Linked DNA regions of Rhinolophus ferrumequinum. The protein of the gene in region 1 purifies or fractionates together with the protein of each later gene. This does not show direct contact. Links are inferred from orthologs where the notes say so. Each region holds a gene or a part of one and is shown in the gene's direction. Other genes may lie near its edges. The genes, in order: LARP7, CCNT2, SF3B1 and NCL.

What was found.
Region 2: the proteins of LARP7 (region 1) and CCNT2 purify together in Homo sapiens (co-immunoprecipitation; 3 studies listed by BioGRID and IntAct, with this or other methods). This does not show direct contact. The link is inferred for Rhinolophus ferrumequinum from reciprocal best matches to the Homo sapiens genes LARP7 and CCNT2.
Region 3: the proteins of LARP7 (region 1) and SF3B1 purify together in Homo sapiens (affinity purification with mass spectrometry; 4 studies listed by BioGRID and IntAct, with this or other methods). This does not show direct contact. The link is inferred for Rhinolophus ferrumequinum from reciprocal best matches to the Homo sapiens genes LARP7 and SF3B1.
Region 4: the proteins of LARP7 (region 1) and NCL purify together in Homo sapiens (affinity purification with mass spectrometry; 4 studies listed by BioGRID and IntAct, with this or other methods). This does not show direct contact. The link is inferred for Rhinolophus ferrumequinum from reciprocal best matches to the Homo sapiens genes LARP7 and NCL.

The regions. Positions count from the first base shown.
Region 1 is NC_046301.1:269,541-277,204, forward strand, and holds the start of LARP7 (la-related protein 7), read left to right. Parts: upstream 1-4,081; 5' UTR 4,082-4,226; intron 4,227-4,407; exon of another isoform or gene 4,408-4,555; intron 4,556-7,664. Other genes in the region: protein ZGRF1, read right to left, coding at 46-69. UniProt on the Homo sapiens protein: RNA-binding protein that specifically binds distinct small nuclear RNA (snRNAs) and regulates their processing and function.
Region 2 is NC_046291.1:83,225,241-83,233,512, reverse strand, and holds the start of CCNT2 (cyclin-T2), read left to right. Parts: upstream 1-5,105; 5' UTR 5,106-5,145; coding exon 5,146-5,303; intron 5,304-6,093; coding exon 6,094-6,175; intron 6,176-8,272. UniProt on the Homo sapiens protein: Regulatory subunit of the cyclin-dependent kinase pair (CDK9/cyclin T) complex, also called positive transcription elongation factor B (P-TEFB), which is proposed to facilitate the transition from abortive to production elongation by phosphorylating the CTD (carboxy-terminal domain) of the large subunit of RNA polymerase II (RNAP II).
Region 3 is NC_046291.1:33,139,772-33,148,064, forward strand, and holds the start of SF3B1 (splicing factor 3B subunit 1), read left to right. Parts: upstream 1-4,891; 5' UTR 4,892-5,041; intron 5,042-8,293. Other genes in the region: COQ10B (coenzyme Q-binding protein COQ10 homolog B, mitochondrial), read right to left, coding at 1,267-1,416, 4,443-4,621. UniProt on the Homo sapiens protein: Component of the 17S U2 SnRNP complex of the spliceosome, a large ribonucleoprotein complex that removes introns from transcribed pre-mRNAs.
Region 4 is NC_046291.1:6,950,827-6,958,416, forward strand, and holds the start of NCL (nucleolin), read left to right. Parts: upstream 1-4,343; 5' UTR 4,344-4,519; coding exon 4,520-4,537; intron 4,538-5,791; coding exon 5,792-5,908; intron 5,909-7,441; coding exon 7,442-7,590. UniProt on the Homo sapiens protein: Nucleolin is the major nucleolar protein of growing eukaryotic cells. It is found associated with intranucleolar chromatin and pre-ribosomal particles. It induces chromatin decondensation by binding to histone H1.

The DNA.
Region 1 (7,664 bases):
ATGAAATGTGGAAGAAGAGGGAAGAAAAGAGGAAATAAGACTTACGATAAACTCTTGGCTTTCCATCATTTCTTCAGAAGTTATAAATCAGTCAGTCCAGAAAATAGTTAGCGGTTATTCAACTATTTATGCCACCTAAAATGAAAAGTGACAAAGAATATTCCACCCTGATGAAAAGAATCAGTATTAAATAAAAATTTCCCCACAACTCTTGACAGAAGAGTGGAATCTAAGAGTTCCAAGACTGTAACGACCAAGGGAAATACAGTGCAATCAAATTATCTGCCACTGAGGACACAAGAGTGACACCACATTGTGGAAAAAAAATTTCCCAAGTAAAAAGAAAACTAAGTAAAATATATAAATAATTAGTCTGCAAAACATTTTTCCAGGTGCCATAACATGTACCAGAAAATGACTCCCCCTCCCACCAGCTTTGGTTCCTTACAGAAAGAGCTTTGATTTGTTAAGTTTTCAGAATTGATGTGGTCACCACAAGATGGCCCCCTTGACTCTAAAATTTTTCCTTTTACATCTTAAAGTCAACATATCACGGTACCTAGTGCCAATACACCTTGTAATACCTCTGCAAGGAAAAAAAAGTCTTTTCAACATCGTTGCAATGAGTACTGTACTCTACACTAATGGATAACACTGTCATTGTGGGCAAATTTGAAAATCTAAACTCACTGATGGTAAATTGAAGAAGTAAATAGAGATGTGAAAGAAAAAAAATTTTTTCCCCGAAAGCTGTGGTTCTAAAGCAGGGGTGTCCAAACTTTTTTCAACATTTTTCACCAAGGGCCATATGTGGTAAAATACATAAATAGCCGGGCCACTCACTCGAGGTGAAGTAGGTATTGCCTCACCTGGTTTATTTAAGTAAACTAAATAAATTTTTGGAATTTGCTGCGGGCCAATTAAAAATGAATTGCAGGCCGCAGTTGGCCCGCGGGTCGCAGTTTGGACACCCCTTTTCTAAAGGTATGACAGCATGAGTTGGAAAGTAGTTAGAAATCAAATTTTTGGGTTCCAGCCTTGACCTATTAAATCAGAAAGTCTGGTCATTGTGGTTTAACCCAGTCATTGTGGTTTAACAAGCCTTGCAGGTGATAGTGGTACATGTTTGAGTTTGAGCACAGACCCTGTAAGACCTGGGGGTGGGGGTCAATAGAGCAATAATTTGCAATTCTGGATTCAATTCCTCATTTATAGATATAAAATAGGCCACCTACATATTATTTATAAATTACATATATGTATGTAGTCCTTACTATGTGCCAGACCAAAAAGCCAGACCTTACTATATGAGACAAAAATGAAAATACTATTTCCAATCTCAAGGAGTATTGAGAAGTGATGAACAGTAATTACAATATAACAGGAATAAGCACAGGAAGGGCACCCAACTCGGCCTAGGGCATCAAACAAGGCTTCCCAAGGACGTAATACCTAAGCTTTAAGATGAAATAACCTCTAACCAAGGAGAGATGCCAGGAAAGGAATTTCCAAACAGGAATCGATACGGATCAAAGCCTGTGGAAGACACAGCAAGGTTGGATCAAGGAACGCGGAGCAGTGCAGTCAGCGAGCCAGGTGTAAGGCAGTGCAGGCACAGACTGAAAAGGAGCAGAAAGAGGATTCTGAGGGCCTCCTGTGTGGGCGGAGTTGTGTGGATTTTCTGTGAGACAACAGGAAGCCATGGCAGGATCTTCAGGATAAAATGACATCATCTGACTTGGGATTTACCAAGATCGCTCTGGCAGCCAGTGAGAGAAAAAACGGGGTGAGGGTTAGGCGAGTGAGATGAATACTTGCTGCAGACAGAGCCCACAGGGCAGGACCCAGAACTACAGAAATGCAACTCCCATATCCTGTCCCCCCACTCCAGCCCACTGGAATTGCTAGATGCCTAAGGTATGCCAAGATAACTGGGGGTCCAGAGAGGCACCTCATTCACCACTGCTTTTAGTGCCACTGGGGCCCAGCCACTGAACGGGTTTGCAGTTCTGTATGTGGACTCGAGATGATATGGTGTGGACAGCTCTTGGGACGTGGCAGTTGTTAATTAGATTTCTAACAACAGTTACCAGTTATTTGGTGCAATTACATGCAGGCATTGTTAAGGTGTTTAAATGCTCAGAACCTCATGGTGCAGATCATAGGTTTTACATTCATTTTACAAAAAGGAAACAGCTATAAAACAAGGAAGTAATTTGCCAAGATCGTAAAGTAAATAAATGGCAGATTCAGAATTCAAAGCCAGGTAGTCAAAACTGGTGCTCACACTCATAGATACTACATTATAAGACTGTTATTGAGTACCTACGATGTCAGGCTGGAACTAGACTAGACACGTTACATATCATATTTGTCGGCCTCATAATCACGAAGAGCAGGTATTTTCATCACAATTTATAGATTAGGAATACAGTATTTGCTAATTCAGGATTACTTATAGGCTATTTAGGAATTGCAAGATAAATTCCCCCTTGTTTTCCTAAATTAGTTGTGGGATTTACATCTTAAAAGAAATTGTGAAGGTCCAAACTTTCATAAATGGTAAATTAGATTACAAGGATTAAACCTAAAAAAAAAAGGCTGACTGGATTTTAAAATATTTAGAAGAGTCCTGACTTCATTAAACAGGACAAATGGATTTAGCCAACAGCATCATAAATTTAAGTGAGGTGCAAGAAGAAAACATTTTCTGAAAGTCTTCATCCATCTGCATCTGTCAAACAATTCAAGTGTTGACCCACTGTAGTGCAGGGGATCCTGCCGACTACGCCAAGTGTCGTGCGGGGCGTCCGGCGGGGTCTCTGGTCCCGCTCCCCACACAAGAACGCAGGATATGGCTAGGCCAAAAAGGAACACCCACGAAGCCATAGGTAGGGGAGTCATACCACTATACTGTCACTGGCGGCTGGGTTGGAGACACGGGGACCAGGAGCAACACAATTCTCAACCCTCACTGTGCCGCTTGCAGGCTCAGCCACCATCTTCTTGCTAGCTCCCCCCTTTTTCTTTTGCTACTAGCCTAGCCACGGCAGTTATATTCATGGCTAATGGCTCACTGGTTACAGCTGACGGCCAACTAGCCACAGCTGATGGCCATTTGATCACAGTCGATGGCCATTTACTACCTGAGCCAGCACCTTTCTATGTGAGGCCGAGAGCCTGGAAACTGCTTTTTGGGGCTCTGTCCCCACACCCACCTTTACTGGGTGAAAGTTTAACGTGCAAAGAAGTTTTTAAAGGTGTGAGGAGATCCTAGCCGTTCTGTGATCATTACGGAAGTACAGACATACACACCTACTTACACAACATTATTATTGTGCCGTTTATACATTGATGTGTGAAATTCGGTCTTCTCACTAAAATATAACCACTGCTTCTGGAAAGTACGACGAGATATTTTTGGTCTTTTTGTTTTGGAACAAGCAGGATCTTTCGAATACCTAAAAAGGCTTACAGGTTTAAACGTTTCAGAATCACAAACCCAATATGCTGTGAAGAAACCATCCAAATAACCCAATAACCAAATAACCAAAACAAGCCCACCTTTCATTTGCCAAGGTTCTCATGACCACGATCCTGTGCAGAAATGACAGCAGGCTTGACCCTTTGTCAGTCCTAAAAGCCAACAGCAAAACCCTCCCTGATCTTCAAACGTCTGCGGGAACTGCAAAGCAGGGGCCGGGAAAGGCGGAGAAGACGAGGCCCAACTATAACATCACCAGGAGTCGGAGCAAGCTGTGACGGAGACCGTCAGTCCCGGGCCCATAGCATCTCGCCGTCTGCTCCGGCGGAGCCTATTCCTTCGTCCCTTCGCCCGGAATCAACGACGCCGCCTCCCTGAAACCCGGGAACAGCTCACTTCACCCATCCATGACCAAAACTCACTCTCGAATTCTCCCGCGAAAGACTGTGACGTCATTAACCCGGGACCGCACCAGATTCAGCCCGGCACTGTCGCCTCCAAGCCGCCAATCAAACTCCTCATTGGCTGCGAGCCTCCGCGGCCCCGCCTCCGAGCCGCCCGTGCCTGGGACGTAGCGACGGCGCAGCCCGACGGCGCAGCCCCTCGGCGCGTCTTTCTGAGGCATCCGGCGGAGCCGTGTCGCTCGTCTTATGACGCGGACACAACCACGACTGTAAGAATCCGAAGACGCGAAGGGCTCAAGGACGCAGTGTCTGGCCCAGTGTTTTGAAGATTGAACAGAGTAAGTTCCGAGTGGACTCTAGGGTCGCTCAGGTGGGAGAGGTTAATCCGTTCCGTCACCTGTCGTCCCTGCCACCCCGCCCCCCCCCCCCCCCCGCGAGCCAGTCGGCGCGCGGTCCTAGTTCTCTGCACACGCGCAGGTCCTCCGTCCGCGCGGGACTTCCGGTTGTTAGGGGCAGGGCCCCCGCGCGGTGTTCCGCGGCCGGAGGTTCGGGGCCCGCCGGCGTCGGGCGGCGTCCGTGCGGAAGAGCTGTTGCCGACAGGGGCGGTCGTTACACGAGAAATTGTTGCTTCACACATTTGAGCTTTGGCGGCCAAAGGATAGCGAAAGTGAGGACTTGTGTTTTAAAAAAAATTAAGTCATTTTTTTTTTCAGGATACAAGTCCTTGTCATCAAACAGTTGAAACTCCAGTTGTGGAAGGGAGCTAACAAGTAACAAGTGCTGGGTACTCGGGTACTAACTGCGTTACTCAGAGGAAGGAAAACAGATGAGCGTTTCATTAGGGGCGACGTGCTGGTGGGAGATGGCATTTAACCTGGGCCTGGAAAACGGGATAGAGGTTTGTGAGACAAGTGAGACAAGACTCATTCAGAGCAACGGCGCAGAGGCAAGCAAGTGTTGGCGTGTCCTTGAATAGTCAGCTGTCACTACAACAACGTTCTTAACCTTTTTGGCAGACCGTTTCCCTTACATCATAAAAGCTGTGGACGAGCACCCCAAGAAAATGCATGTACATGTCAAAACATTTTCCGTGTAATTTGTCAGCAAAAGTTGTGAGGCTCTGAAATGGCCGAGGGAAAAAAATACTGGGTGTCTTGTCTCGCACTCTTCCAGGTTATCGCTGCCTTTCCTGGTCGTTGAGCTGTTTTACTGTTGTGTAAGTTGTAGAAAAAGACAACAATGGAAATGGTCTTGCAACTAGTTAATTTTTCAGTTACTGCCCTGGCCAGTTTTGCATCTACTAACAAATTTATTCCAGTGTTCCTGAGTGCTTATATATGTGTCTGCTTTTTAAGTTTTCCTTTGAACTGGTTTTTAACTCTTAACTGGTCCCCTGATTAGCTTAAATCTTTGACATGTAGTCATGTTTTGTTTGTACAAGATTCTGGATTTTACCTTTTCGTTAAAATTTATCTTTTAACAACTTCATGATATTCACAAGAATATTTGAAACCCACCCAAAACGCCATGGACTTCTGGGTAAGAATTCCTGAGTCAGAACATGGAATGAATGCATGGTTATGGGGTAGCAAGAGGCTCTAAACCATAGGCAGTGTGGAAGTCAGGCCTGAGCTGGCTTAGCCAGTAGCTTTGACCAAGTCACTTAACCTTTGCGCCTCTGTCACTACAAGCTGGAAGAACCCCCTCAGTGGGATTGTGAGGATGTAAAACAGTGTATGTAAAGTAATTTGCATTGTTACACAGTAACTTTTGTTCTTTAAAGCCCGTGTTTAGACGCCAGTTAGCTGTCACTGGTTATTTAACAATTTTTTTGAAACATGTGTTCTGTTCCAACAAGGTGCTAAGGAATTTCTAATGCTGAATATTTTGTATAACATCAAAGTCACAGAATTAGATCTGGCCGCACACGGGCTCTGTGTTTTAGACAAGTTAACACGGTTTCTGTGAAGAATGGGTGACTACTAGAACAGGTTATAAACTGTTCCCATGTTATAGTGACACTGGTTGTGGAAAACACTGGAGATAGCCATTCCAGAGGTGGAATCGATGGGACTCAGTCATAGGTTGTTAAATGATAAAATAATAATGGTTACATGTTAATGAGTGTGCTGTATAGTGCCAATTTGAAGTGCTTTATTTACATTACTTTCATTAATCTTCACAAAACCCTGTTATGCAGGTGTACTTTTTACCCACATTTTATAGACCATGGAGAGATGCGGTAATTTGCTCAAAATCCATACAGCTAGTAAATAGCTCGATGAACTCAGTGGAATGTGTCATCCTTAAATCAGAGGAGGTGGTGAGAACAGGCCTGGGTAAGAAAGGTAATAAGTTTGATTTGCAATGTGTGCACTGACCACACACATCCTGGTTACCCACAGGATGTGGAGAAAGATTTTGAGGACTAAGAGTGTAAGGAGATTGTAACTTTCTCATCTTCTCAGCCATGGTGTAGTAGGAAAGCTAAATTGTCCTACATCTTTTGTTAAATCCATGCTTTCCTATAACTGAAGGTATGTTTGATTAGCTACAGAATATATACTATTTTTAAGATGTCAATTGCAAACATGTATTATACACTCTAGGTAAGAGTTTCTGAATTTAATTCTCTAAGCCACAAAAATAATCCTTCAGAGAAGGAATGGAGGAGGGAGTCTCTGGGCTGAGATATGAGAATGATGGGGAAAGTCTGGTTTCTGGGAGAATTGTGACTCTCTGTGCTTATGCAGTTCTGTCCACTATTTCCTTAGATGGTAGCTTTGACAAGCAAAGGAATTGGTGAGCTGGTAGTCAGCCCTTTATAATTTGTAGTTTTTTTCAGAAGGGAAAGTTAGCAGTGGATCCTGTTATAGTGATAATCATAGACATGCTTGTATTTTATTTATGATCCTACCCCTTTACAAAAGAACTTGAAATGCTTAACACTTTACAGCTTATAAGATCCTTTTAAATACACTAATTATTCAATAAATGCATCAGTTGTGATCAAGCTAAAGTGCCTCCTGCCCTTAGTGACTGGGGGTGGGTAGGGTTAAGGTAGCAAGGGGGGAGTGGTATTTAAGATTGGGTCAAAAAGGAAGCCTCATTGAGCCAGTGGTTTGCAAGACCTGAATGAAGAAGTAATCCCTACAGATGTGGTGGAAAGTAAAGAGCAGCAAGAGCAAAGGCCTTGAGATGGGAATGGCCTTAGCATGTCACAAAGAGCAAGGTGTCGTGTTGTGTTTGGGGTGGTCTGCTGGGAAGAACTCACAGGAGCTGGAGTTAGGTAACCCCTGACCAGATGGCCAGATGGAGCAGGGCCTGGAGTTAAGTACACCCCCCTGCCCGCCAGACAGAGCAGGGCTGGTGGGTCACAGAGAGGACTGGGTTTTATTCTGAGTGTGATAAGAAACCTTTGGAGGATTTTGTGCAAGCGGTTAACATGACATGGCTTCAGTATTTAAGTGATGACTGGTTGCTGACTGAGAGTTGATGACTGTGGAAGACCTGAGAAGCAGCTGTGTTAGGATGTGGTGGTTGAAGCAGACGCAGGGACAGCTTGGAATGGGGTCTGAGGGGAGAACTGCAGTGTTTGTATTCAGGGTATAGTCGATGAAGGTAAAGGTAGAGCTAGCAGGAGTGCCAGTGAATGGGAGTGGGGGGAGAATTAAGGATTCACCTCTCTGCCCTCTCTGCACTTTTGTAGTTGGTGTTTTGTGAGATGTGGAAAACTAGGCAAAAAGTAGGTTTGTTAGAATTTGAGAGTTTAATTT
Region 2 (8,272 bases), on another chromosome or scaffold:
ACCTCTCCCATTGCCCACAAACTCTGTTACAAGCTCTTTCCTGCCTAAAATCAATAAGGAAACATTGGCCTTAAACAACACATTAGACCAGTTCGACTTAACAGATACATACAAAACATTCCATCCAAAAGCAACAGAATACACATTCTCCTGGAAATATCATATATTCAACCACAAAACAAGTCTTAATAAATTTAGTAAGGTTTAAATCATATCAAGCATCTTTACCAAACACAATAGTATGAAACTAGAAATCAATTTCAAGAAGAAAACTGGAAAATTCACAAATATATAGAGATTAAACAACATGCTACTGAATAACCTATGGGTCAAAGAAGAAATCAAAAGAGAAACCCAAAAATACTTTGAGACAAATGAAACTGGAAATACAACATACCAAAACTTATGGGATGCAGTAAAAGCAGTTCTAAGAGGGAAGTTCATAGTGATAAATGCCTATATTAGTAAACAAGAAAAATCTCAAATAAACAACCTAACTACACCTCAAAGAACTGAAAAAAAAAAAAAAGGAATGAATGAAGCCCAAAGTTAGTAGAAGGAAAGAAATAACAAATATCAGAGTGGAAATAAATGAGAGACTAAAAAGACAATAGAAAGATCAATGAAACCATGCTTTTCTGTGCCCATAATCCTGAGGACATTTAGCCTCTGAGATGTAGTTAATGATATTAAATTCATGCATACTTTAGACATAAATGCTAAAAACTTGACTCCCAGTTTTTTTACTTGAGCAGTTGGGTAGATTTATGATGAGGAAGACAATGGGATAAACAGGTTTGGGAAGGAAGAGAATCAACAGTTCTGTTGTTGGACTTCTTATATTTCAGATACCTGTTGGACATTTAAGTAGGAATGTGCAGTAAGCAGTTGGGTACACTAGTCTGGAGAGTTCCGAGAGAGGTTGGGGAGAGGTCATCAGTATACAGAAGGTATTTAAAGAAATGAGACAATGAAATCACCTGGAGAAAAAGTAGAGGAGAAAAACCAAAAGAACCCAGGACTAATTCCTGGGATTTGGCAATACTTGGAGGTTAGATGAGAAACCAGCATTGGGCACTGAGTGAAATAGGAGGAAAACCAGAAAAATGTGGTATTCTGAAGTCAAGGGAAGACAATGTTTTAAGAAGTCCTAACAGCTTTAGGCATTAAAAAAAAAAAAAATTAAAGCTATAATACTATGGTACTTTAGAGAATCATATGCCCCAAATGTAACTCAATCCTTTTATCCCAAAAGTTAGTTCCACTTCCTATACTATCAACTCTGATTAAGGGCACCACCCAGTCACCTAAATCCTCTCTTTCACCCATATAAAATATGTCATAAATCCAATAGATCCTACCACTTTTATATCTTTCATATCTTATCTATTCTTTCTTTCCTATGGCTCCTAACTGAATTCAAGTCCTCATCTCTCACCAGGACTATTGACATAATCTCTTATCTATATTAGACTCTGGGCTTAATCTGGTACAATCCATCTTCCACCCTGTTGCTAGGGGAAAATTTCCAAAGTACACACCTAATCATATTTCTCTCTCTCCTTAAATTCTTCAAGACCTAAAGTGGTGGTTTCTAGGCTTTGGGATTTCATTGATCAGTAGCTCCCATCCTTAAAAATTGTACTGATATCTCTATTAGAGCACACTTCTGAATTACAATTGCTATTTTCCCACTAGACTGGGACTTCCTGGAGAGCAGGAACTATGCCTTCATTCACTCATTCGCATGCATTCAAAATATTTTTTGAGGGCCTGCTACATATCAAAAACCACCCTAAGGGCTGGAGTAATGTAAGTAAAAACGAACATGATTCCTTCCCTCAGTGGTGCTTATAATCTAGTTAGGAAGACAGGTATCAAATAAGCAACCAATCAATATAGAACGTCTACAATGACAAGAGCTATGAAGGAGCACACAGTGTGTAGAGAGCTTATAATAAAGGATTTAGCCTAGTCAGAGTTGGAGAGAGACTTTTTTGAAAGAAGTGTTGGTTAAGCTGGTGTTAGAAAGAGCAGACAAAAGCTAAAAGTTAGAGACAAAGAGGAGAGGGGAGGAGTATTCAGCACAGAGAAAACAGCATAAATAAAAGCCTTATGGCAGGAGAGAACATAGCAAGAAATCAGGCCACTGAAGTAAGAAAGCAAGACATTCTTGGTATAAATTGGCAAGATCATATGGGGTCATAAGTAAGCTGAAGAATTTTGTCTATCAAAAAGCAATGAGGTTTTTAAGTAGGGGATGACACAACTAGAGTTGAATTTTGAAAAGAAACTGGTAGGTAGAGTATTCTTGGTTAGCAGTTTTTTTCTTTCAGTACTTTGATGCCTTCTTTTTAATAGCTGACTAGTATTTCACTGCATAGATGTATCATTATCATCAAATCCTCAATTCACAAACAATCATGCAATTATGAACGGCTACTGAGAATATTCTTACTCCATGATGTTGAACATGTTTTCATGTGCCTATTTGCCATCTGTGTATTTTTATTGTGAGTGTTCACCTCTTTAGCCCATTTTCAAAATGGGTTCTTTGTTTTCTTTGTTGAGTTTTATGAGTTCCTTGCGTATTTTGGATACAAGTCCTTTATCAGATATGTAGTTTGCAAAAATTTTCTCCTTGTATTTTCACTCTCTTAACAGCGTCTTTTGCAGAACAGAAGTCTTTATTTTTAATGAAGTCCAACTTAATTTTTTCTTTCATGGGTCATGCTTTTGCTGTTGTACCTAAAAACTCATTGCCAAACACACGGTCGACTAGATTTTCTCCTGTGTTATCTTCTAGAAGTTTTATAGTTTTTCATTTTACATTTAGGGCTATAATCAATATAGAGGTAATTTTTGTGAAAGTTGTTAAAGTCTGTGTCTAGATTTTTTTTTTTTTTTTGCATATGAATGTCCACTTGTTCTAGCACCATTTTTTGAAAAGGCTATCCTTTCTCAATTGAACTGTCTTTGCTCCTTTGTCAAAGATCAGTTGACTGTATTTGTGGAGGTCTATTTCTGGACTCTCTACTCCAGTCCATTGATTGCTAGGTCTTTTCTTTTGCCAACATATGCTGTTTTTATTACTGTAGCTTTGAGGTTGGGTAGTTTCAGTCCAATTTTTTCTTTGATATTGGGTTAGATATTTTGGGTCTTTTGCTTTTCCACATAAACTTTAGAATCAAATTTTTTTATATATTTACAAAATAACTTGCTAAATTTTTTATTGGGATTGCATTGAGTCTATAACTCAAGTTGGGAAGAATTGACATCGCATGATATTGTCTTCTAACCCATGAACTCAGAGTAGCGTTCCATTTCCTTAATGAGTATTTTACATATTCATATAGTTTTCTACATATTTATCCTGCACATATTTTAGATTCATGCCCAAGTATTACCTTTTGTAAATGGTATTGTTCGTAATTTCAAATTTCAATTATACATTGCTGGTATATAGGAAAGCAATTGACTCTTACATATTAAACTTGCATCTTATAATCTTGCCATAATCACTAATTCCACCATTTTTTACACTTTGAGATTTTCTACATAAACAATTGTCAGCTGTGAACAAACTCAGTTTTATTTCTGCCTTCCCAATCTGTTCACCTTTTATTTCCTTTTCTTTTCTTATTGTATTAGCTAGGACTTCCAGTACAATGTTGAAAGGAATGGAGAGGGGATATCCTTGACTTAGCACAAAAGCTTCTAATTTCTCACCACCAAGTCATGATGCAAGCTGCAGGGTTTTTGTAAGTGTTCTTTATCAAGTTGAGGACGTTCTCTTCTATTCCTAATTCACTTAGAGTTTTCATCACGAAGGAGTGTTGGAGATAGACACTTTATAAACTTTCCTTTACATCACTCTATCCTGGAACTTTTAAACACCGTAAGATTTGAGACAAGCAATGTAGGTAAGAAATTAAGTTATATAGACAACTGTTCGTAACTACCTACTGCAACCAAATCAATAGCTCAATACTGTAGTGTAAGAGGGACAGACTGAACCACGATACAGCAGTACAATGAATATAGGTCGCCCAAAACAATGACAAAAGCCTAGAGTTTTAATCAGGAACTCATTTAAAAATATCAATTGCCTTTCAAAACAAGTATGTCTGCCTATACTCTACTCTTTGGCAAATAGTTAAAACCTAGAAACTTTTTTCATAACAATGGGTATTAGCTCAGAGTGGAGCTCTACAGTATTTTCTTACAGGGACACAAGAGGTTAGTAAACAGTTATGTACGGTGTTACTGTATTAAATACCAAAATATAATAAAACTTTTTACTGTCCCTCCTGTATTATCTGCTTCTCTTTTAAATCGTAGCGGGGTTTAATAACACATCATTGTTACGGCCTCAAAACCTAGTCTACAAACTCAGGTTCTTCCAGTTACTAACTAGATAACTTTTGGCAAGCAATTAAAAAAGAAAATAAACCCACGGCCTGCGTAGTTGTGGGATTCAAACAAGATAACGTAGGGGAAAAACACTCCAGTGCGACACAAACGTGGAGCGTTGTTTCTGATGCACTCTTGCCCAGGTAGGTCCTTCTCACAGCCTCCAGTGGGGCGGAGAGCATTTGTCACAGGCACGGGAGTCGAAAGCCTACGACACTGCGTAGACCAACGTTACAGAAAAGTGGTGGCTGCGGCGTGTGGCGTCGACAGAACAAGGTGTTACGCTCCTGGCCCAAGGACCGCCCGAATTTCAGAATCCACGCCCAAGCGCACAGCGCAGCCGCCCGCCCGCCACTCACACGGGCCGACCCCAGGCCAGCCTCTTCTCTCCTCCCCGCCCCTTGGCCCCACCAATTCTACACCCGGCATGCACCGCGCCGACCTTTTCCTTCCGCCAACCCCCACCTCCGGGCGCCTCCAAGTGACACGCGACGCGGAGCATTGTGGTCCTGTACGTGAGAGCGAAGCCCGGGACAGGAAAAAGAAAGCAAAACACCAACGCGAACCGGTAGAGTGGCCCCCGCGCACGCGCACCGACGGCGACGGGGGTGGAAAGGGGCGGGGCGTGGTCTACGGCGAGCGGAGTGGGGCGGGGTCGCGCGGCCTCGGCGGGGAGTCCGCGAGCCGGGAGGGGCGGGGGTGGGTGAGGGAGCGGGCGGAGGAGGAAGTGTCATGGCGTCGGGCCGTGGAGGTTCTTCTCGCTGGTTCTTTACTCGGGAACAGCTGGAGAACACGCCGAGCCGCCGCTGCGGAGTGGAGGCGGATAGAGAGCTCTCGTACAGACAGCAGGCGGCCAACCTCATCCAGGACATGGGACAGCGTCTCAATGTGTATCCTTTCCAATTCTTGGCCCTCCGCCCCTCACGCCCTGTCCCCCTCACTATTCGCCCGGCCGCCGGGCCTGGTGTCCCGCGAACATGGCGCCGCTGGCTCGGCCTTCGGTGGGCCTCGGCAGCGCTGTAAGGGAAGGCAGGCTCAGGCTCGTAAGGCTGCGAACGTCCAGCGGAGGAGGAGAGGAGTCCGGGATCGCGGGGTGGGAGGCTGCGTTGTGTAATCTGCTTGGGGCCGCGCGTGGTAGCGGCGGGGGATGGAAGTGCCGCCGCGGCGAGAGGGGAATCCTAGGGATTATCGCAGCGAAGAGGCGGCTGCTTGGACTTCTCGTCCGAGCAGGGATTGAAAGGTAGGAGGGTTAGCTATGCTGAAAGGCGTTAAGTGTTCGCAGCCTTTCCCCGCGTTCCTCGCCTGTTTGATGGCGGTCCTCTTGTACCTTGGGAGCGCACTGGAGGTCTTTATGTTCTTGGCGTGGTTTTGTAGGAGTGTGCGCGCGCGGTTTAACTGGTTTTGAGTTAAGTCAGTCGTAACCATTGATAAATCCTTCCTCGGCTCGCATAATAGCAATATTAGAGGGAAACAGCAGTTGTTACTATCCCTGTTTGGTGTGGAGCCTTCTCCCCTCCCCCGCACGGGGTTTTATTTATTTATTTTCTTACAGGTTTGGGTTGGTTTTGTGTGAACGGGAGGCACTGGAAGAGAACTATAGGTCGAGAATTTTCCATGAAAATTGTTTTGGAAATGAGACCATGTTTTTCTCAGATCTATTTCCTAAATGTTACGATTCAGCTCTCAGCTTACAATAAACACTGCGATTGTTTATATGCACAGGTTTTATATGTACCATTCTTTCACCAAGTTCAATAGAAATGTAAGTACTATTTTATTTTCTGTTTTTACTACAACCAAATTTGCAGTAAACCGTTATGCAGAGAAAAGTTGATTATGGATTTTACTGTTGGATTTAGTGTTCCAAGATAACAGTGAAGATAAATCTAGTGATGAACGTTTTGCTTCAAATGCGGGACTTCTGGTTTGTTTTTTAAATTTTTGGTGACAAGCTGCCAGGCACTGGGTTAGGCTTTGCTAGGTCTTTTGAGCTAAAAAATAAATAAGAAACATTTCTTTACTCAAAGGATTTATTACGTTGGTATTCATTTAAATCTTATACTTTTGATAAATTTCAAATAGTAATGTACAATGTAATTTGAGCAAACATAGTCATTCTGTTTTACATCTTCTAATTGTGTTAGACTGCTGTCGTTTCAAATACTATGAAGTGGGCTTAATGTAATTGTAACTAAGTGTAATTAGTTTGAAATTATCTTTTAAAAGAGTTAAATGTTTAGCAGAAATATTTCATTTGCTAACACAATTTCTTAAGGTGTCAAAAGTAGCTGGTTATCACACAGTAGCATTTGTTGTCTGCTTGAACTTCTGGTGATTGAAATGTCAAATCTTGCTCAAACATACTATGTCAGAGGTGTGTGTGTGTGTGTTGAAGTAAAACTTATTCTGCAATACTAAGGCAATCATTTTGAGCATAATCTGTAAATCTTGGCAAATTGAGTAATGGCGTTTAGTTGAAGTTTTTATTTTAAGTTATGAAAGATGAATTTGATGTCTGTTATTTTCAGAGTAGCATCCATACTGTGTTGCATCTGTTAACAAAGACAATTTTGTATTGTTTAGAAATGTTTATTCCTACATTTTCACTGTATTTTTTGTCTTTTTATCACAGCTAATTTAAGAATGCTATTCTGCAAGGTGTGTGTAGAAAAGTGGACCATAGAAGACTTTATTCTATTTTTTTCTGGATTGTTATTAGGACCTTTTTGCTAAGAAAACAGTGTTTGAAAAGATCCTTAAAATATTTTTTTTGAATTGGAAGGAAAAGATAATTTAGATTAATTCCTATTCTAATCTCTTGATCATAAGTCTGACTTGGTTTAGTAGAGTGGCATATAGGTTTGTCTTGAACATTATTTTTTGTGTACATTTTGGTCTCTTGCAGTCTTAGTTGCTTCTACTCTTCCTCTTTTAAATCTGCATGATTCTTGATCCATTTTCGTAGTTAATGTCTTATGCAGACTTAGGTCAATGATGGTGTTATGGAAGAGAGAGGAAGCCTTTTTGGTAATGACATTTAGATTGAGAGAATTACATTTTTATTTAAATTGGCTCCAATGGCAGTCGTGAACTAATGAATACTAATATAAATGTGGCTTCTCATTAGTAGCCCAGGAAAATGCTGGTAGAAATCACAAGTCAAAATACTTCTGTAAATTCTTTATGTGGCTACAGATGTACCATTTGCTGAATCAGGCTCCTTTTCTACTTCCAGTAAGTGATCTCACCACAGGATTACACTTCTCATTTTGAACCCTCCCTCTTTCATAATTTGTCTCTATGGACTGGTTGGTGTGCTTTAAAACGAGTTATTTTGCTTACAGCCAAAATTCACAGGTTTAACTTTAAGTTAACTGGTGAAGTCCAGGTCACTTGCATTTAAACTTTCACTATTTTATTTAAATGCCGTCGTTCAATAAAAAAAGCAAGAGTATTTTTATTACCTTACTTAGTGTCTTATATGTGTATGAAAGTAAACTTCAGCATTTTACATTGAGTCGTTATTAGCAGAATAATTGAAATCTGGTGGTAATTTCTATTTTGAAAAGTAACATTTCACTCTTCATATCTAACTGTTGTCTTCTTTTTTTTGTCTTTGCTATTATATCCAAAGTGGTTTTTAAGTTTCTGTTTGAGCACTTGCATAGCCTCACTCTTATCTTTTTCCCCCGATTCTTTTAGGGTAAAGGGGGTGGTCTTAAATTGAATGTGAGTCAGTTTTAAATTCATACTCCCCGACATCATTGGGAAAAGTATTTTATAGGATTATAATGGAATATCATAGTAAACTTTGAACAAGCATGAGCCTTCACCACAAAGTAAGCTGAACACCATTCTC
Region 3 (8,293 bases), on another chromosome or scaffold:
TTCAGGAAGGTAGCCTGTTATGAAATATATAAAAATTAATACTTTTCCTATACTAACAAGAAACAGAAAACAACAGTACCATAGAAATGCAAAATATCTAGAAATAAATTCAACAAAAAAAACTTTAGGGCTTAAATCATAAACAAACAAACAATACCACTCTGCATCATGGAATCATGTAAAAAACAACCTGAAAAATCAGATCTAGATATGTATTATTCTTGGTTATAAAGAATCAACATAATTAAAACATAATTCATCTCAAAATTATAAAGCAATTTAAATAATAACAATCAAAATTACAAAAAGGTATTTCTTGAATATGCCAGAATAAGTCTTTACATATTAATTTAAATTAATCTTTATGATCATGAAATGAGGCCCACAACAGAGGGAGTGGGAGAAAAACCTACCTTCCCCAGGTTTTCAGACACTTTGAAATAAATACTGAAATAAGTCCCATGAAAAAGTTTGAAACCTTGTATCCTGGAAGCTAATTTCTTAACCTTTGTAGTCTACAAAGGTTAAGAAAGTAGTACAACATAGAAGTCAAGGGGATGGACTTTGTAGTCAGAAAAGAATGTGTTCAAATATCTCCTCTAAAACATAGTAAGCCATGTGACCCTAGGCAGGTTGCTTAACTTCTCCACTTCACTCTCTTCATTCATCATTGAAAAATACCCCTAAGCATTCTTTTCAGGGTTAAATGAAACAATTTTGGCAGTGTACAATGTTTCATAAATGGTAGCTATTATTATGTGTTTATGTCATATATGAGGGAAAATATTTGGACTACAATGACAAAGTTGAGTAGCTCCAACAGAGATAGATAGTATGGTCCACAAAAACCTAACAGATTTCCTATCTGACCCTTTACAGAAAAAGTTTGCCAACCTTCGTTCTAGATGGTAGGAGCCTCTTAGTATGCCTGTATGTACATCTATGTATATGCGTATGTGAGGGAGATATATAAATATATCTGGGCCAATGTATCAGTAATGTTGCCACTATAGAAAAGAACAGTGTACAACAATGCAGGTCATAAACAGGTCCATTCTTTACATGTCAAGGTTTAAATCTATCCTATAAAGTTACCATATAATTATATTCATTCAACAAATATTTATAAAACAGCAAGGGCTATGGAAAGGCCAACCTAGAAACAGAGCTTAGTCTATAAGAAGAGAATCCAGAAAAAAAAAAAAGTTATGATACTCTATAGAAAATTGTGAACATGCTCTTTTAGTAGAACTAATATATACAAACCCTATAATTCTCCTCTCTGAATATTCTTTTCTTTTATTTATTAATGGTGCAGCTACTTTGAAGAAAGTTCTTGCATATATCTCCTTAGGCAACACTGAAGTATTTGGCGGAAGCGTTCTGCTCATCAGTATACCACAGGAAGCTAAATATCTAAAAAGACAAAAATTACTTGATTTAGAGAGACATCGAAAATTAAGAGGAAAACAAATTACAGAAATTGTAAACACAAATTATTAGAGATTGTAAAATACCTATCACACTTCAGAAGGCTTTGCAACTTTACAATATTCCTGAAACACACACATACACACACACACACACACACACACACACACTCACACACATACAAAAAAAAAACAAGCTTCTTTGAGCACTGTAAAGAAAACTGAAAATAACAGCTTATAGCTAGGGTTAGAAGCTTCTGGCACAAAAGGGATCTATCCCAAAAAGTTGGCTTTTGGTCTATAGTCATGTGTCACAACGTATTCTTCTATACACTTGCTAGAATATTCATTATGTATTTTTCAACTCATCTACCCAGGTTTTTTCCCCAGCTGGATCCATAGGGGTTCCTTAATTCTTGATTTACTCTATTAGATTTGAAATTAGGTCTCATTCTCAGATTGGAGATCTGATGACCCTGTCAGAACTGTCACTCTGCTCTCCTTTTATTTTCTGATCTCCACTTTGTGCATATATGTAAAAACATATGCCAAGGTAATTATAATCTTAATTGTTTGAGGTACTTCTGAATCCAGATTCCCCGATATACCCTTGTTCACCTAAATATTTGTAGTCTTTCCCTAATGAGATTATTGCATAACTATTTTACACTACTATTCATGAATTAGTTCACATACTTATTGAGCTTCTATTCTGTGCTAGACATATAATGGATATAATGGTGACTATATAGATATAATGGTGAATAAAACAAACATGAGTCTTATGAAGATTACATTCTAGCTGAAGATTCCAAAAAAAAAGTGCTTAAAAGAGAAAGAAGATGGGAACATGCAATTAGGACTTCCTTTAGATCGGGGTCTAGGAAGTCAGCTGAGGTTGTATTTCAGCTGACACATAGTGGTAAGGAGATAGCCATGCAAAGAGAGACATAGGTATATATGTATATAATAAATGGGTGTGCCTATATGTAAACACATACACGTGTGTAACATATAGAGTTATATATGGAGGAGAGGGAGATAGGGGGCATTCCAGGCAGCAGGGAGTCCAGACTACAAAAGACTAACAGTGTATCAGCAGTACAGCAGGCGGGGAGTGTCTGAAATAATGTTAGACAGGTTGCAGCTGGATCATGCTGGGGATTACTGCCCAGGATAAAGCAATTTGGAATTTATTCTCAGTGAGAAGCTGTTGAAGAGTTTCAAGTAAGAGAGATTTCATTAAATTAAATCTTCAAATTATTTTTTAAAGGGAAATGGGGTGGCCTGGTGAAATCTCTTTATGTTATCAAATATAAAATTTTATCCATATAAAGTATGATTTACATATAAATAAAATTTCTTTAAGGACATAGACACCCTACAGTTTGAGTGGGGAAGAACAGAAAATCAAGTTAAACAAAGAATGGTCGAAGAAACTGGAAATATTCAGCTGGAAAGTAAGGGTTGATACCTGAAAATACGGCTCCAAAAGGTAAAACAAAAGCCCAAGTAGAGGGAGACAAGTTTGGGGTCCGTAACACAAAAGAACTTTTAAACACTTAAAGCTATTTATAAAAACTGGATGGGCTTATTCCAGAGGCAATGAAATAGAGAGCAATGAAAATGGTTAAGCTAGGGGCGGGCCTGGTGGCTCAGGTGGTTGGAGCGCTGTGCTCCCAACACTGAGGTGGCTGGCTTCATTCCCACGCAGGCCAGTGAGCTGCACCCTCTACAGCTAAGATTGTGAACAACAGCTCTCCCTGGAGTTGGGAGGCCATAAGCAGCGTGTGCTGCCAGGAGCGGCCGGTGGCCATCGTGAGTGGCCGGCAGCTATCGTGAGCAGACGGCAGCCAGTGAGAGCTGCCACAAGCTGCCATGGACATCCAGTCGGCGACCCACTGCGTGCAAGGCTCATAATACCAGCATGGGCTAGGGAGCTGTGTCCTACACTAGACAGAGAAACAGGGCTTGAACTGGAGGGGTGGGGGAAGCCTAGGAAGGGGAGAAACAAAAAACAAGCAGATCTGAACAGCACGATAACGTTTGCTATGCTCTGCTTGGAATTACTTTTTCAGGCTATGTCCTAAAACAGGAGTAAACGACCTGAAATGATTTTATTCCAGTTTTAACCAGTATTTGTCTAAAATGATGAGTTGGCTGGGTTGTAGGCATTTTAAAAATTCTTCATGGAATCTAAATGTCCTGGAGCTCAACCAGATTCGTGTTTTCTCCCTTCATCTCGTACTGTCTACAATTCATTTCATTTTAAACACTAACTTTAATTTTTCAGCATAACTTATTACAATGTTATTATTAAAAGGAAACTAAGTGGTGGAAATACAGAATTCTTCACCTTTCCACATGCATTTACACACCCACTCAACAACAACAACAAAAATCGAGGCAGACTCTGGTTCAAGGTTACAGGACCTGTAAGTTACAGTGGAGTGGAAAAAAAATTCCAAGTCCCCCACGTCTCCTACGTTTAGTTTTGCAAGAATCAAAGGGCAGGGGCAAAGACCTCTACCAGAAACTGGGAAAGCTCGTCTGGCCATCTGGCACTCAGCAGGAACAGAAGGGGGTTCACACCAGGCCACAAACTCCAAGACGCCCAGCAGCCCGCAACCCTCACAGGCAAATATAAAACTTTCTGACAACAGAAGCAGCAGGCCATAGGGGAAGGGACCGGAAGAGCCTAAAGGCACAGGTCGGCGAATTGCTTTATTAGCTGTTTCAACGTCGCTACGCCGATGATTCACCGTCTCTCGCGAGGGCAGTGAGCCACAAACACAGACGGGGCGGCCGGGAAAGGCCGGCGAGCGTCCGGCCCGGGGTGATGAGCGCGGCGCCTGAGTCCCTTAAATGTTGAACTCAGGAGTTCCCTCCAGAGACGCGGAAACGCTCCGGATCTGGCTCCGCCTCATCTAATATACAATCCCCCCTCGTACTCCCACTCAACAGGCCTGGGTGGAAAACTACCCACGTCTCGGCGCCCGAGTTGATTATTACCTGACGTTCCGCGCAGGCACCTGCGCCGGATTGGGGGCTCCAGCTGCTGTCGTCGACTTTGGACGACAACCCGAGACCGAGACCACCTTTCTCAGGGCCCTCTGACCAGTCCGAGCTGCCATGATCGTCTCACTGAAGCCGGTCACCAACTCCAGGACCAAGCCCACAGCACCGCCCATCTCCGGCTGGGCCAGGTCGCCTGGCTCCGGCGCCTTTCAGCCAATCCGCAAGCCCCATGAGCCACCGGACACGCTCCTCCTCTCACCCCGATTGCGCAAAGCTGACGCACGCTCCCACCGCCGTAGGGCCGAGTGTAAACGCGCGGGTCATTCTGCCCGCCAATTAGAGGGAGCAACAGGCCTCTTGGACACACCCCCTCCCCGGCCGGCCTCTTGTTCTCGCCGCCCGCTCCGACGCTTTACGTAAGACTCGCGGTGACGGTTCACCCCACCCCCTGCGCTGGAACTCTTCCCGGGATTTGCCAACCGCGGGGATTCTTTTGGGCGCTGCTCTTGGTCGCGAGGCCCAGCACGTGAGCCCAGCCCCGGGGCGGAGGAAGCCGGACATTCTCAGTGTTAATTATGTAACTGTCCAAACCGGTGAGTGCTGAGCCGGACCCGCCCTCGCTCCTGGCTGCGAAGTGTGGCGGTCAGTCTTGCTGGTAATGATTGTCTAATACAGTACCTGCGGCGCAACCCCGTGGGGTGGTTGTAAGGGCAACATAAGGTCACGTTCTTAGGGAAGATACTCAGTTCTATCTGCTTCTTCCTGCGAGGCCAGCATTTGAATTGGTGTTCGTGTATGGTTTGGGTTTCCCTCATTCCATTAAAACCAGACAGCTTTGCTTTGATTCACCCATATCAGGAATCCGTCAGTCATCAAGTCCTGACGTGTTTTTTTTTTCCCCAACCCTTTTGTTCCCAGGTCCTTATTTAACCGTTGTGCACACAGTTTCCTGTAAACTGAGAATAGCAGTACTATCTATTGCAGTTTTGAGGAGTAAATGAAATACTTGATTAAATGTAGCCAACAAATATTTTGTGGCCCTTACTCTGCCGTGTTAGGTGCTGGATAAGTGAACAAACGTCTTTACCATCATAGAGCTTATATTCCAGGGGGAAAACCAATTAGTATACTACACAATATCAGATCATATGATGTAGAAAAAAGTAAAGCAAGGTAAGGCGATGAAGAGGGGTAAGGTGAGGCACTGCTTTATGTAGGGTGGTCAGGGAGGCCGCTGAGGAGGTGATATTGAACAAAGACCTAAATGATGTGAGGAAGTGAATTACGTGAATATTGGGTGGGGGGAGTTACTTCAGGTAGAGAGAACAGCAAGTGCAACAACTTTGCCCTGTTTTATGAAGAGCAGAGGCTTTGGGTTACAGTGAGTGAGGAGGAGAGTGGTAGCAAATGAGATCAGAGGTAGTGAGGGCTTTGTCAGAGTGCCTGGGAGGTTAATGGTACCAACTTTGGATTTTATTCCAAGTGTGAAGGGAAGTCATTTGAGGTTGAGGGCAGAATAGTGACTTGATCTGAGTTACATTTACAGACATATTTCAGCTGCTATGTATATGTATGATTGTTATTTTCTACTCTTGCTTTGTTCATTGCAGTCATCCCTTACTTGATGCTTTGTGAAGTGAGTTGAAATTCCCAGCTACAAAGTTTGTCAAACACTTTTCAATGCAACATAGGATGTGTTTGTCGATTCAGGTGGTTTTGAAGCTGCATCCAAAAAATTCTATATCAGATTACCTTCAAATTCACAATCCCTGCTCTTCTTGACTTAAATCTTGAATGTTTTCAGTAATGTCTTCCTTTAAAAACAAATTTTCATCATATAATTCCCCTACTAAAAAACTACAGTGGTTGCCAGTGCCTACAAAATATAGGCATTACACTACCACCTTCTGCTAAGTTCTATTTCAAACCATGGGTGATGTTAACTAGAAGGCCTGCTAAACATATTTTTTAGTATAATTACTTATGCACTTCTTTTAAGGCCTTCTTTTATTAATTTCGCCAAACATTTTCTCATTCAGTTCTTCCCAGACATGAAAATACCTACTGAATTGGGCCACCCAATTGAATAGTTTCCCAATTAAAAAAAAAACTTAAAGGCAAATAAAGGAATCTTTGTAATAGATGACAGTGTATGACACACATTTGACTTCTCAGCAGAGTAATACATGTATGTCATAAGCTTAAAAGTAATAATATAATAAACTCTGGTCCAGTTTCAGTGGATGACAGTGCTTACACAAATTGGGGGTTCAAAGGTTTGTCTATACAATGTGAAATGATTGGTAGTAAATGAAACTCAGCACAGACCTATGGGAAGCGATATCTTAGAGTCCAAACTAACTATGCTCTTAAAAATACATTTGACACGACACGACATATTAAATATTCTGGGAAAAATAATTGAAGCTGAATCTGGCCAAGCTTTTAGATATGCTAGTTTACACAGGGAATAAAAGAACATGTTAAAGGCACCAAAGAGATACAATCTGCCAAATAGAGAATGTGAGAAATTCTGTAAGACAAATGATCCAATTTCTTCAGCAAATAAATGTCAAGTAAAGAAGGAAGAAGGGGAGTAGATTTTACATCTACTATTGAAGATTTAAAATATTTAAGAGGCATTATTTAATAGATTTTGTTTTGAACAAACTAAACAGAAAAAGGCATACAAAACTGGGAAATTCGACTGAAATGTATCTCTCTACACAGTAGACATTCATACTGAAGATTTTACAGGTGAAATATGTCTTTGATTTGCTTTAAAGTAATCTTGTGGGGTGGAGGAGTAAAGTGGATGGAACAAAATTAATTGATCATTAGTTGATAATTATTGAACTCGATGATGGGTATATGGAGAGTTTATAATAGTATTATATATAATTTTTGTGGATGTTTAAAATCTTCTGTAATAAAAATATAAATAGATGGCCTTTCATGTGATCTTCCCAAATGAAATCCTCCTGATTGACTTCCACTTAGAATCATACATTGACCCCGAATTTAAATTGAACAGAACCAGAAAGGCTTCAGGTAAATAGTGATGGCTATGATTTTGTGTTAATACTGTTTTTAATCAACGCTCCAGTCAAAACAAATATAGGATGAATTTTAACCACAGAACAAGACCTTTACTTAAATATCACATATATTTTTCTGAAATAAAGCAAGTTTTTAAATTCACATAAACTCATTACTGTCACCTTTTTGATCAATAGAATAATCTTCCTAGCATGCTCAATGATTTCATACAGGCATTATCTTTGTGAAATGTTAGGTTGAAAGAAAACCTTCCTTGACTAAATCAGCAACTGAGTTACAAGAGATTAATACTATTACAGATGTTAGTTTCTGATAAAAATCAGACGATCAAAGAGGATTAACTAGACAGTTTGCCCTTACTGACTGACTTTGTAAGTCAGGGACCAATCAGGAAAATTATACCAGTTATTTTAAATAGAAAATTTAATGTAAGGACGTTGTTAAACAGGGATTGGAGAACTATGGTGACAAAAAGGGGATAAGAAAGTAATAGTAACTGCAAGAAATAGGTACCATACTACCCCATGTTCCCAAGACCACTGGTGGGTTCAGTGATTTGCTACGAGGACTCACAGGACTCACCATATAGTTAGCTTTACTCACAGCTGTGATTTATTACACTGAGAGGATACAAAGCAAAATTAGTGGAAAAAGAGCATATGAGATGTTTGGGGGAAACCAGGTGCAAATTTCAAGGGTCCTTTACCAGTGAGGTTGTAGAATCACACAGGACATACTTAATTCTTCTCACAAATTCTGATGTGTAAAATGTTGCCAAGCAGAGA
Region 4 (7,590 bases), on another chromosome or scaffold:
GACCCTGGTCTGTGTTATCACAGGATTTCTCTAGCAGGGCCCAAGCTCCTGGATGTAGAAAGGAAAGCTGACCACGGGCTTGCTAGGGGGTGCAGCCGGGGAGTCAGGGCTGGTGATAATCTGGGGCCTGCGACCAGCCCTCCTCCAGCAGACTCAGGGGTCCCCTGCTCACTGGTGCAATTGGGGAGCCGAGGGCTGACCCCTGAAGTCTCTGTGCTGGCAGATGAAGCTTCTCAGGCTGCCTCAGAGAGATGAAGGCCAGGTCCTTTGATTCTGGCCCCTGAGCCCAAGTTGCCTCATGCATGGAAACACTGGCCTAAATGCCAACCAAGGGCAGGAAAGGAAGAGCTTAGGATCGTACTTCAGCACCTGGCTGAAAGTTCTGGACATTACCTGAAGGCCTCAGGGAACCCACAAAGACAAAAATGCAGGCAGGGTGAGTAAAAGGAACTTGGCTCCGCCCACCTTCACAGCCTGAGCAGACACCCTGCCCTCTGGCCTCAGGCAGGCTTACAGAGCTCTGGAGTTGAAGCTGTGAATTCCCCTCCAGGCCAGGTGGGGTGTCCTCCCACCCTCTGCTTTTGGCAGCTAACCTGAAAGCAGCTCTGGTCCCTCCACTGTGGCTCTAGCCTTCCAGGGGACCCTAGTCTGTGGGTGGCAGCAGCTTCCTGCTTGTGCCTTACGTCCCATTTGGCTTCTCAGCAATTCTACCAACCTTATAACCAATTCCTGCTTGAAGTCCTCTTTTAAATATCTGAGGTCATTTTTCTTTGCTGGAGCCGAACTGAGGCATTGGGTTCCTTGAGGCCTGGATCTGGGGATTGGAGTTAACCCTTCTGAACATCTGCAGACTTCCTCCAATGGGCTGTCAGGCCTACTGTGGCCGACAGGGTCTCTCTGTGTCTCTGGGTGCCCGTGGATGCCCAGAGTGGGTACCTTAGTGCAAACAGGTACTGTAGGTAGTAGGGGCTGGCCAGGCCATGGCAATGGGCTGTGTCAGACAGTGACCAGAAGAGGTGGCCAGTGGCTGCTCAAGTACTCCTGAGGCTCTGGGCTGGTGGCAGAAGCTGGTCAAATTCCCCAGTGAGAAAAGTCGGGGAAAAGAATTAGAGTGCTGCCTCTAGGGGATGTGGTCGCCTTACCTCTCCCCCCACCCAAGCCCTCCCTCCTCTGCCAAAGTGCAGAGTGCTGTCAGCCCAGGAGCTCTGGGGGCAGCAGGTAACCTCAGCCAACCAATACAGCGACCACTTCCTCTCCTAGGAGTGCTTTGTACAAGGCCATCCTACACTTATCACCACCACTTCCCACCTGTTCAAGTCTCCGACTGCTGCAGCACTCCATCACCCTGAAACAAGTCTTGTCAAAATCTCCAACATCTCTTAGTACCAAATCCCATAGACCAGCTTTAGGCCTCACCTATTTGACCTATTTGTGGCATCGGACACTAATCTTCCTTCTCTTTTTTGAAACCCTCTCTTCCTTTGGCTTCCAAAACTCCCATTTTCCAGCTGTGCTTCTGCTTCTGGGCCTTCTCCCACCCCAAATGTCTCCCACCATTGGCCTGGATCTGCCCAGCTTTCTCTCCTCACTCGGCTGCTATTCTGGGCAGGTTCCTCATACCATCTGTGTCTGCAGCCATGCGACCACCTCTGCCAATTGCCTGAAGCAGTAGGTATCATCGTGCATTCAGTATATCCCAAACTGAACTCATTAGCTTCCACCCAACCCTACAACCCCTGTGTTACTCCGCTTATATATGTACACTCAACAGATAATGGAAATAAATGATCCCTTCTCCTTCTCTCTCCAAGTCACCAAATCTGTCAATAATAATAATGGCTAATATTAATTAAGGATTAATTATATGCCCTCAAAAAATACATGCAGCATCTCACTTAATACTCAGAACAACCCTAGAGGCAGATACTATTATCATCCTCATTTTATAAAGAAACTGCAATGAAAGAACAAGGTCTCAGTTTAAATCCTAGCTCCTTCACTTACTAGCTTTGTGACTCTGGACAAATTAATTTACCTCCCTCTGCCCGAGTTTCTGTAAAACAGTGGTTTATTTTTAAAGGTTATTTTGAAGAGTAAATGAATTAATAAATAACTGGAATAGTGCTTGGAACTTAGTAGGCATTACATAAGTAGTAAATATTATTTTTCTATCCCAGACTGATCCGAATCAAGGCACGTGAACACTAAACTGTACTGACTCTCTCCACTGCTTCTTTTACAGAAATATATCATTCACTGACAAATAATGTTCACTACTAACTTGTGTCAGGCAATGCTTTAGACTCCGGGAATACAGTAGGGAACAAAGTCTGTGTTGCCATGGCTGGGGAGGGATCAAACAATGAACAGCCAAGAAACATTACAGGTGTTGATAAGTACCTGTAGAAGACTCAATTACAGTGACGTGATAGGGAGTCTGGGTGGCACTTTTCATTGGAGACTTGGGGAAGGCTTCTTAAGAGGCGATGTAAACTGAGATCTGAATGACAAGGAGCCAGCCATGCCAGTATTTCTAAAATTCATCCGTCTCTCTCTTTTTTTTAAAGATATATATTTAATTGGGTAACTGTTGTTTTTTTCCAGGACCCATCAGCTCCAAGTCAAGTTGTCCTTCAGTCTAGTTGTGGAGGGCGCAGCTCAGCTCCAAGTCCAGTCGCCATTTTCAATGTAGTTGCAGGGGGCGCAGCCCACCATCCTATGTGGGAATTGAACCGGCAACCTTGTGGTTGAGAGCTCGCGCTCTAACCAACTGAGCCATCCGGCTGTCCTCATCTATCTCTTGATCATGCCCATTGCGCATCTCTCTGGCCTCTTCCCATGAGTGCATTCGGCGTGCTCTGTGCCAAACTGCTTGGGAACACTGGGGTCTTATTCCACCATGCCTTGGTTCGTGCTGTTCTTTCTGTCCTGTCACCCAGTAAGTGTTCCCTGAGGCCCCACCCCAGAGTTCAAATCGTGAATCTCCTCAGGGGCTTTCCACGGATCAGAAAGCAGGGTGCAGACCACAGAACCAGTCCCAGCCTCCTCCTTGATCAGAGAGCCCCAGGGGGAAACTCCTATACACTCACTCCCAAGAGCATTCTAGTAAGAATTGCAAAATAACTTGATTGCTCATAAGAATCCCCATGGGCCTTTGTTAAAATACAAAATTCTGAGCCCCAACGCAGACCTACCTCTTTAATTAGAATCTCCAGAGATGATTTTGAGTTATCAGTTCAGTTGGGGAAATATCATCATACCTGAAAGTATCCTGGTTTTGTAGGAACAATTAGGCACCAGATGCCCAGGATGTATCTCAGGTAAGCTCTAAAGGAAATGTTCTAAGTTTGGCACGAATTAGTTTGCCCACAGTGACCTATCTGAGTAATCGGCAAAAGCTCAACAAAGAATCTTCTGTGTCTCCACCATTGAGGGAACTTTTCCCTTGGCTCTCTTCACCTACTCCTGGACCATCTGGTTAACACGAACTTCTCCGCCGGACATTTTTAGTCCCACAGAGGGAACTTGAGTGGTCAAAGACCTGGCTCTGTGGTTGGCCTGACCGAGTTCCTCTCCCCACCCCAGTTCTAACACTCCGTGTCCGCCAGAAAGTTCTTTCCAGCCTGTTCCCCATTGGAAGAAATAACCTAACCCTTGAGATTAATGTAATGTTTATGCACTGGCCACAGTAAACCTCACGAATATACGCAATTGCCTTTATTAACACCTCTCAGGAGACAACCTCAGGCACGTGGCCCGGTAGGGAATCACCTGCAGATAGGGAGATTTTTCTGGCCGTGGATCGTTGGCGGGTGGGGCAAGCGGTGGACCTCCGACTAAGGCGTTGTGAACCTGTGGTCCCTGAATTTCAGGTCTGGGGCTCATCAGCCCGGTAACGGGGGCGAACTCCTTTCTTCACGGCCTCCGGGAGGCTGAGTGTGAAGGGCGGGACAGGGCGGCAGAGAAACTCCACCTGAGTCTTCAGGACCCCGGACGCATTAGGGAACCGAACTGCGCAGGTACCAGCGCCCGCGGGATCCCGCACACGCGGTGCCAATAAACGTCCGTCCCACGGCGCAGGCGCCACGAGCGCAGGCTACGGAGGGGCACTACGGAAACCGCGCGCCCACCGTCCAATCAGCACCGGCCTTGCACAAAGCGAGTCCCGCCCCCAGGGCGCCGAAATCGAATCTCCTCCCTCTCTTCTGGCCGCCTCGGCCCGCCCACTCCCGCCCACGCTCCGCCCCGCGCCGTTCTCGACAGAGGCTCACGGTTGGCTCATGGATTGAGCGCGAACTCTGGTTGGTTGAAACGGAGTCACGAGGTCGCCGTCGTCGCCTTTCCAGAGGCGATTACTGGGCAGGCTCAGTCTTTCGCCTCAGTCTCGAGCTCTAGCTGGCAGCCAAGTATACGCGCTCCGGATCTTCAGTACCAGCGGCCGCCATAGACGTCGTTGCGTTCCTCTGGGCTCATTTGCGCCACTCGTCCGCCACACATTCCGCCGTCATAAACCGCCATCATGGTAAAGCTTGCAAAGGTAAGATGCTTTGCTCGCCCAAGCTCGGATGTCGAGGCCTGTTTTTCGAGGAGCGCGCGCGCGGCGCCGCGAGGAGGAGGGCCTCTGCGCCGTCCCAGGCGCGTTCGAGGGCGCCATGCTGTGGGAAGTCTCGCGTGATTAGCGGGGAGCTCTCGCGGCTTTTGGTTACTTGGTGGCGAGGTGAAGAGCTTCGGCAGGTGCTGCGGGTGGTTTATGAGGCAGGGAAAGACTCAGGGATTGAGCGTGGGGAGGGGGCGCTGGGCCTCAGGATGGGGGGATGAGGCCAAACTCCTGCGACGGGCGCGAGCGGGGCCCCGCCTCCTGACGCACGTGCCCCGACGCCCGGCTGGCCACGTGGGCCGCGTCAAGTGGGTCTCGGCGTCTCCGGAGGGGACCCAGCCGTAAGGCGGGGAGTGGCGGGATTGCTTCAATTGGAGGCCCAGCGACCGCTGGATCGCGGCTCCGGCTAGGTGGGGGGACCCGAGGTGGGCTTTGGAAGGTGGCCCTGCCGCGTGCTTTCCTTGCCGGATTGCGCGCACGTGGTGACCTGTGAGTCCCCCCACGTGGACCCGGTGGGTCTGGAAGGGGCGGGGTTATTTCCCTGGGAAAGGAACACTTCGTGAGAAGACCAAAAGTAGTTAAGTGTTTTTGAAAGTTGCCTTAATTTAAATTCAGACGAGGGTAGTGGAATAAGGTGACAGAATTTACCAAATGTTTTTTAAAAAATACATACATATTTTTAAAGGAGGGCGCAGCTCACAGTGGCCCATGCGGGGATCGAACCGGAAACCCCGGTGCTACCAGCACCACGCTCTAACCAACTGAACTAACCGGCCAGCCCTACCAAAGGCATTTTAAAGATAGTTTTCCTTAGGTGAAGGGCTGTGGATTGTTGGCCATTAAAATAGTCCAATTTTAGGCTACTGAGTGAAAAAAATTGTACTTCATGTAAAGTTCCATTCTGGGCGTAGTTTTTAAAACGGGTGTGCTTAACAAAGGCAACAGGACGAGGGAGATCATTTCCTTGAAGTTGCCTCTTTATCCAAAGATTGGTTTTTGTAGAACCTGACAGGAAAAATGTGTGGGAGATTGCTAACGTTGACATCAAGAATAGTTTTTACGATAACGGGGGTATTTAACAGTATGAAAAGGGGGTTCTGAGAAAGGGAGATAACTGCACTGTACTGTAAATGATGGCAAAATATGAGTTACCTAAAATGTGGGAGGTGTAATGTGCTACCATGTCTATTTTAGGCCAGTAAAAATCAAGGTGACCCCAAGAAAATGGCTCCTCCCCCAAAGGAGATAGAAGAAGATAGTGAAGATGAGGAAATGTCAGAAGATGAAGAAGATGAAAGCAGCGGAGAAGAGGTAATTATATACAGTTTAATGCCGAATTATGTTAAACTACAAAATGGAGAGAAAAAACAGGTTGTATTGGATATCTGAAAATACTGGCAAAAATAAGATTGTGTTCACTCGTGTATATGACTTGTAATGGTTGCTTTCACAAGCTCTTCATTGACTTGTCAAGATACCATGAGGGTAAGTTTGGATGAGAGAAAAGATTAGGAGTCTTTTCATGTACTCTCTGCAGGGCTTAGTGTGATGATGTATTATTAAATCATTACTGTTTTCCAGTTTAAACATGTTAGCCCCACATGCTATATGAGGAAACAGCCTGGACAACTACCTGTCCTATAAGTGGCAGTACTGAGCATTGTATTGAGGTCTGAAGTTAGCCTTACCAGGTTCCTTTCCTAGTCTCCAAGCAGGTTTCTGTTCTTCACATATGAGGTTTGTAATACCAGCCACTGTTACAGTTTGGTCTGAGGTGAGGTTTGCCACCTCCCTTTGTGTTAACGTTGACCCTGTTTGGTACTTCTGACTGTTTGCTTACTATCAAGACAATTAACTGCTGTATTTGCTCATGGTTTTTGTTTAGAATTTAGTAAAGGTTTTATTTTTTAACCCATTACCTGATAAAACCAGCAGTCAACAAAAAGTGGCTTTGCGTGTGACTTAACTGTAGATGAATGATGTTTTTATCAAGCTAAGTGCTCATTTTTTAAATTTGTATTGGTTTTGTAAGGATTGACTATCCAGCCTATTTGGTACTCATTTTACCTCTGGTCCTAAAAATGAGCTTCCAGTGAATTTTATACCACCACCCACAGTAAGAATCCCCAATGGTTTAATAACACTTAACATGTAGAGCTTTGTAAGTGGAAGGCTTTTAGTTGTAGAAACCAATTCATAATCCTTGAAACAACATGTAATGTTGGTTCTATTACTATTTTCAGCAATCTATTTCCAGAGTTCATTTAAAAATTTTTAGACAGCATTGTTTATTAATAGTTTCATTGCGATATAATTAAAATATAAATAAGTACGTATATATAAGGCGTACACTTGGCTGAGTTTTGACATGTAGACACCAGTCTTGATGTGGCTTCCTCTAGTTAATAGGACTTTTATTCAGCTAATGTTCAGATGGTTTTCCATGTTGATATTTTGTAATTTAGTTGTAATTTTAGCGTGTAATGGGAGGAGGCAAACATGTTTACCTACTCTGCCATCTTGACCAGAACTTCTTAGAGTCCATTTTAGGATGTTGCTTCAAAGCTGAAACAATTATAAGGTATGGGGTACAGAAATTCACAGGTCTGGGTTAGTGGTATTTTAAGTGTTAAGTGTTTCTTATGCTTGGGTATTTACCTGAAAATGAGGATTGACCTCACAGGTATACAGAAGGACATGTGACATGATCCTCCAGTTTAATACGCCAACATAGATCTAATGCATGTGGTCTTGAAGCAGAGGCAAAGCCAGAATTTAACACTCAGTTATGGGACCAAGGCTCCCTTTTTGAGTTTAGAATCTTATGTTTGTTTTATTCTTCAGGTTGTCATTCCTCAGAAAAAAGGCAAGAAGGCTACCACTACTCCAGCAAAGAAGGTGATGGTTTCCCCAACAAAAAAGGTTGCAGTTGCCACACCAGCCAAGAAAGCAGTTGTCACCCCCAGCAAAAAGGCAGTGGCTACACCAGCCCT